2 linked regions of the Callithrix jacchus genome follow. The protein of the gene in region 1 interacts with the protein of each later gene in a pairwise test. Links are inferred from orthologs where the notes say so. Each region holds a gene or a part of one and is shown in the gene's direction. Other genes may lie near its edges.

Region 1 (3,517 bases):
GCTGAGGCAGGAGAATCACTTGAACCTGGGAGGTGGAGGTAGCAGTGAGTACTGCACTCCAGCCTGGGTGACAGTGAAACTCTGTCTCAAAAAAAAAAAAAAAAAAAAGTAAATCAAACACAGGTACAGTCCCTTAGAATAGGGTCCCCTACCCCCGGTTCGTGGTCTGTTAGGAACTGGGTTGCACAGTTGGTGAGCCCCAGCTCCTGTCAGATGAGTGGCGGCATTAGATTCTCATAGGAGCATGAACTCTAATGTGAATTGTGCATGTGAGCGATCTAGGTTACACGCTCCTTGTGAGAATCGAATGCATGGCCCACCCCCGTCCATGGAAAAGTTGTCTTTCGTGAAACCAGTGCCTGGTACCAAAAAGGTTGAAAACTGCAGCCCTTATTTGCAAAGGTATATGCCACAACTGAGGAAAAAAACCCCAAACTGCTGCCTTAGAATATGAAGCACACTTCGGGTGGGTCTGTCAGATGTTAGGCAGGCTCCAGACGACTTGGAAATGGCATGCTGTCAGCCTTTTGTCTTACTGCCAAGCCTAGAGCAATTTTTTTTTTTTTTTTGAGACGGAGTTTCCTTCTTGTTACCCAGGCTGGAGTGCAATGGCACAATCTCAGCTCAACACAACCTCCGCCTCCTGGGTTCAGGCAATTCTCCCGCCTCAGCTTCCTGAGTAGCTGGGATTACAGGCACGCGCCACCATGCCCAGCTAATTTTTTTTGTATTTTTAGTAGAGACGGGGTTTCGCCATGTTGACCAGGATGGTCTCCATCTCCTGACCTCGTGATCCACCCTCCTTGGCCTCCCAAAGTGCTCTGATTATTGGTGTGAGCCACCACGCCCGGCCTTTCTTTGTCTTTTTAATATTTTTTGTTTTTAGAGATGGGGTTTCTCTTGATTTCTAGTAGCTCTGAAATGAAAATAAATCAAACAAAAAAAGGGATAGGGTTTCTACATGTGGGTCAGATTGGTCTTGAACTCCTGACCTCAGGTGATCCACCCGCCTTGGCCTTCCACGTGCTGGGGTTACAGGCATGAGCCACTGTGCCCGGCCCCCTCGAACAATTTTTTAAAACTATGTACCAGAAATCTTTTTAAATCAATTCATAGAGAGCAGCCTTAACCTTTCAAATGACTTTATAGAATTCTCTTGCTTGGAAATGCCGTATTTTACTTAAAACGATTTACATGATATATGTAATTGAGTTAATACAAACCCTTTGGTGAACACGCAGTCTAGTTCTGCACTTTGACTGTTATAAATATGCTGCATTTATTTTATTTTATTTTTGAGATGGAGTTTCAAAACTGATCTTGTCACTCAGGCTGGAGTGCAATGGCACGACCTTGGCTCATTGCAACCTCTGCCTCTTGGGTTCAAACGATTCTCCTGCCTCAGTCGCTGGGATTACAGGCATGCACCACCATGCCTGGCTAATTGCTTGTATTTTTAGTAGAGACAGAGTTTCATCATGTTGTACAGGCTGGTCTCGAACTTCCGACCTCAGGTAATCTGCTTGCCTTGGCCTCCCAAAGGGCTGGGATTATAGGCATGAGCCACTGCACCCTGCCATAGTTTTTTAAGTTTTTGTAGAGATGGGGGAGTCTTACCATGTTACCACCTGAACATAAATGCTATTTTCTTTTTCTTTTCTGTTTTTTTTTTTTTCTTTTTCAGCCTCCTGAGTAGCTGGATTACAGGCATTCACCACCACGCCTGGCTAATTTTTGTACATTTAGTAGAGACGGGGTTTCATCATGTTGGCCAGGTTGGTCTTGAACTTCTGACCTCAGGTGATCTGCCCATCTTGGCCTCCCAAAGTGCTGGGATTATAGGCGTGAGCCACCTTGCCTGACCCTTACTGTCGTTTTAATGCCACTCTCCCTCAGGGTGACCAACCCATCCAGTTTGTCTGGGACCATTCTGGTTTCAGCACTGAAAGTCCTGTGTTCCAAGAAACACATCCTCCATTCTGTCCCACCTCTATTCTGGGCAAACAGGGACTGCTGGTCGACCCGCACTCCTTGGTTATAAGTAAGGCTGAGTGTGTTTGCCCGTGGTCACAGAAAGAACGGATTTTGGATGAGGAAGTGTTATGGGATCAGATTCGTTTTTTTGTTTTTTAGAGACTTGCTGTGTCACCCAGGCTGGAGTGCAGTGGCCTGAACACAGCTCACTGCTGCCTCAAACTCCTGGGCTCAGGTGATCCTCCCATCTCAGCCTCCTGGGTAGCTGGGGTTACAGGTGTGCAATGCCACACTCAATTTTTTAAAAACACTTTTTTTTTTTTTTATTTTAAAGAGACATGGTCTTGCTATATTGCACAGGCTGGTCTTGAACTCCTGGGCTCAAGTGATCCTCCCGCCTTGGCCCCCCAAAGTGCTGGGACTACAGGTGTGGGCCTCTGTGCCTGGCCAGGACCAGATTTTATAGAGGATAGAGTAGGAAGAAGAGCTTGCACTTATGAGGTGCATGACGGCTTCAGCTCTCTGCTTTGCAGAGTCTCAAGGAAGCTCTGAGAAACTTAAGCAGAGGCTGTTTTACACGTGCGGACACAGAGGCTTAGAGAGGTGAGATAAATGGCCAAGGCCACGTACCTAAGAAGAGACTGAGGCAGGATTTGAATCTCAGCCTGCATGCTGGAAATAGATGCTCGGTGCTGCAAAGAAAAATCAGCACTGAGACAGTGGATCTTCCGGCAAGCAATTTTTACTTCCTGGACTGCAGGAAGGGTACCCTCGCTAGCCACCTTGCCCCGAGAGTACAAAGAACAAAGGAAAACACACAAATTTATATCTTATGCATTTGGGGTCATCCTTACTGCTGTGTCTGATCTCCATTGGTTGGGGCCAGACCTCTCAATCTAAACTAAAACCTGATTGGCTAAAAACTTAAAACTTTTCTCAACAGGTAAAAGCAATGGAGAGCTGGGCCATGCCTGTGAGCACGTCCAGCACAGATATCCTGGTTAAAGTACAAGGATATAGAATGTACTGTAAGTGTGGCATGTCTGACAGCTACATAGCATAGGGCTTAACAGAGAGTTATTAGCACACGTACTCTTTTTCCAAGAAAGGAAACTTGAAAAAGGAACTTCTCTGCTTCCCACACCACATGTCACCACATGTGAGTAACTGGTAAGTGAGCGAGCATCCCTCCTCTTCTCTTGCAGGCCCCTGACTTGGGCCTCAGTGTCCCTGAAGATCATGATGGCGTATATGAACCCGGGGCCCCACTATTCCGTCAACACCTTGGCCCTCAGTGGCCCCAGCGTGGATCTGATGCACCAGGCTGTGCCCTACCCAAGTGAGTACATTCACTTCTCTTGGCACCCCAGGCTGGCCCCATCTCTTGGAGGACCTGTGGGTCCCTTTGCCTGCAGGAAGAAGGCAGTCACGGGGGCGACCTCACCATACACCAGCTCTCTGGGTTCATCTGAAATGCATGTCCCTTGGGAATGCAGGGAAGCACGGACAGTCCTAGAAATTTAGGATAGAGGTTCCTTTTAGG
Region 2 (3,517 bases), on another chromosome or scaffold:
ATGTTAGTTATTGTTGCCTGTATCAGTTTTTTAGTTTATAGTTTTTAGGAAGCAGCTACTTTTCAAGCTCTTGTTATCCAAGGATTATTGGGTATTCAGGACCCCTGGATAAGAATCTTTGTGAGATGCGCTTCAAATACAGAGGAAGGATTACAAGTGACTGAAAAACAACTAAAATGGACTTACACACAAAAAGAATTTATTGCCTTATTCAACTGAAAAGTCTGGGCCGAGAAGGATCCAGGGCTTCACATGTGTCATTAGGATGTAGTCTCTGCGACCTCTGCTTCCCAGGTTCAGGTGATTCTCCTGCCTCAGCCTCCTGAGTAGCTGGGATTACAGGTGCATGCCACCACAACCGGCTAATTTTTGTATTTTTAGCAGAGATGGGGTTTCACCATCTTGGCCAGGCTGTTCTTGGCCTTGGGTCCTGATCCAGGCTCTGGAGCAAGGCCACATTCAGTCAGATCTATGAAAAATTCACAGATTGGGGGTTCCCCTAAGGATGATTTTGGCCTCAATACCCAGGGAGGGAAAACAAGTAGAGGAGAGATCCAAAAAACGATGGCCTCAGCAGAGAGACAGGTGGATAGTAGGTTCAGATCTTCCAGCCAGCTGGTAATGTTGTCCTTCTCACTCGCAGAACCCCAGGCTGGAGAAGCCCGTGCTACTCTCTGAATTTCCTACCAAGATCCCACGAGGTGAACTGGACATGCCTGTTGAGAATGGCCTCCGGGCTCCGGTCAGTGCCTACCAGTATGCACTGGCCAATGGGGATGTCTGGAAGGTGCATGAGGTGCCCGACTACAGCATGGCCTATGGCAACCCTGGCGTGGCCGACGCCACCCCGCCCTGGAGCAGCTACAAGGAGAGCCCTCAAACGCTTCTGGAGCTGAAGCGGCAGCGGGCTGCAGCCAAGCTGCTCAGTCACCCCTTCCTTAGCACCCACCTGGGCAGCAGCATGGCCAGGACAGGCGAGAGTAGCAGTGAAGGCAAGGCCCCCTTGATCGGAGGCAGAACTTCACCGTACAGCAGCAATGGGACCTCGGTATATTACACGGTCACCAGCGGAGATCCCCCACTCTTAAAGTTCAAGGCCCCCATAGAGGAGATGGAGGAAAAGGTGCATGGCTGTTGCCGTATCTCCTAGTCTCCATGCGATGGAGGAGGGAGATTCCTGGGGAGAGGCTTCTGGAATCCAGGCCAGCCCATCAGCCCTGGCTAGGGAGGTGTCAGAGGGCAGCTGGGGACAGGTGGGCTCTGCTTTTCAGAGGAACTCAGACCCCACCCCTCACCTGGCTGCCCATAGCATCCCATGTCCCACGTCCCATGGTTCTGCTTCCTGCTGCATTGTCTGCCATCTGACACAAGGCCCATTGTGGCTTCCTGGCTCACTCTGCTATCCGATCTTGGGAGGGTGGGCTTGAGATCCCAGCTCTATTCTTGGTATAAAGGCTTCTCCGGATCAGTACGTGCATGTCACATATCAACACACACACACACACACACAAACACACACATTTGATCAGTGTGTGTAGAAATGACATACCTGGGCTCAGGGGAAGCAAGGAGGCTGAGAATGTGTGGGGTATTCCCAAAAGGATGGAAGTTAAGACCCAGAGTCTCATTACCACTGCCAATGTGGCTTTAGCAGGGGAAGGGGCCTGCTAAGCAGAGACCCATAGTCCTGCTCAGAGTCGTTCCAAGGTCTGGGCCACCAGCCACACCTGGCAGGGGCAAGAAGTCCTCATTGTGTTCAGAGGGAGCCAGGAACCTACATGGGTAGATAAGATGGGCACAGACCTGTTCCCCGCAGCCTTGTTGAGAGGCACACTTCTGCCCATGCCAGGAGCCAGCTGTGTGACCATCCAGGGGTGGAGGGGGAAACCAGGCGATTCCATTCCTGGAATCAACCAAATCATGCTTTGCTCTTGGATGGAAGTGTCAAAGGCAGAAGGGTGGGGGATGGGGACAAGGTCAGTATTTACCAAAGTGTATCTGATTTAAAAAATTCCTTTAGTCTGTAAAACTCAACAGGGAGGAAGGTAACTGAATTCGCTTCTTTTTGTGGATTGTATCATGGTCACTGGGTTTTACTGGCTGGTGCTGGAAAAATGAAGCTAAATGAGGAGCTTCCATAGGAATGCTTTTCCAGGGAAAGAGGCCAGTTAATATAAGAAAATACTGCTGGTTAATAATGACAGATCCCAGCACCCTGAGATCTTTGTGAATATCTAGACAGTTTCAGCCCAGCCCATCTCAGCCAGCCCTCTTCAGACTGAGCTGTCAGAGCAAGCAGTTAGGGGCCTGCCTGCCTCCACCTCCCACCCCCATCCACCCACATCAGTCAGTGCTCAGGACCCCGGGCCCAGCTTTTGCCTTTTTGGGGATGCTTGGTAAGGCAGATTTGCCAGTCAGCCCTTTTGAGTTCCTGCATAGCCCAGGGGCTCCCAGCCTGGTCTTGCAGGAGTGGTGATGCCCCAAGGCTGCGAACCCAGGGATCACATGGTCGGTATCCCGTCCTGCATTCAGGAGATCCGTGGTAGGGCTGGAGTTGGGTCTTGCCCAGCTCTGCAGTTTCATAGCCCCAGGTTTCCTGATGCTGGGGAGGGACAAATGTGAATGACTGTTCTCCCCTCACTGCTGATGCTCCCAGGACCCCCACTGTCCACAGGCTCAGCCAGAATCTTTTGGTGTAACCAACAAGCTGCAGGTGTGTCCCCTGCTCTATGCGCCTTTGATTTGTCCTTAAACTACCTCCTTAGAGCTCTGAAGGGGCGCCCTAGGTCCAGATTCTAATTTGGGGAACAGATCTGGGTTCTTTTTAATCCACTTATTTCTCAGTCTACAAGAAACTTTCCCTGAGGGGTACCTGGACTAGGGGCTTGGGGCTGGAAGAGCGTCCCCGCCTTGTGCCACAGCTCTAGTTATGGGGTCTGCTGTTTGTCATTCTCAGCCCCCTACTGTGGCCCCCGTGGCCCCATAACCCACAGAGGGAGCTGGACCTGAAGGGACCTGGGTGTGCTTTCCCAGGAGCAGGGGAGCTGGGCCAGAGAGCAGAGGGTCCATGGGAGTGACTGCACCCTTGGTGGCTGCTGGAAGGGGAGAGGTTCTCAGCATCAGGCACCTCCACCCCAATGCCAGGTTAGATGTCTAGAGTAGACTTGGAGGCGACTCAGGAGGCTGAAGACAGGTGCACAGATGCTTCCCATGTCGCTGGCATCTGGGGTGGGCTCTTTAACATCTCAGGCTGTGGCCAGAACAGGACAAGATGATCTAAAACACACTTACCTTTGGCTGTAAAACAGTATCAGCCCAGACTGATGCTGAAATCCCTCGTGAGCCAACCTTAGTTACAAGGTAGGGAGTGTGAGGGAAACCATATGCTCCTCAGGAGAGAGCTGTGCAGGTTTTCTTTTTGCTCAGGGGCCAAACACTGAAGGCATATACTGCCTCACCCACTGAGCACCTGAGGCCATTCTCTCCTTTTTGCATGCCTCCTGCCTCCTGGGCTGTT

Evidence for each region. The genes of interacting proteins can lie anywhere in the genome.
Region 2: the proteins of CRX (region 1) and PPP1R16B interact in binary tests that used the Homo sapiens proteins (3 or more experiments, as listed by UniProt). The two-hybrid records come from large-scale screens. The link is inferred for Callithrix jacchus from reciprocal best matches to the Homo sapiens genes CRX and PPP1R16B.

Annotation. Positions count from the first base shown.
Region 1 is NC_133523.1:41,738,877-41,742,393, forward strand, and holds part of CRX (cone-rod homeobox protein), read left to right. Parts: intron 1-3,179; 5' UTR 3,180-3,213; coding exon 3,214-3,313; intron 3,314-3,517. UniProt on the Homo sapiens protein: Transcription factor that binds and transactivates the sequence 5'-TAATC[CA]-3' which is found upstream of several photoreceptor-specific genes, including the opsin genes.
Region 2 is NC_133506.1:34,340,739-34,344,255, forward strand, and holds part of PPP1R16B (protein phosphatase 1 regulatory inhibitor subunit 16B), read left to right. Parts: intron 1-643; coding exon 644-1,150; 3' UTR 1,151-3,517. UniProt on the Homo sapiens protein: Regulator of protein phosphatase 1 (PP1) that acts as a positive regulator of pulmonary endothelial cell (EC) barrier function. Involved in the regulation of the PI3K/AKT signaling pathway, angiogenesis and endothelial cell proliferation.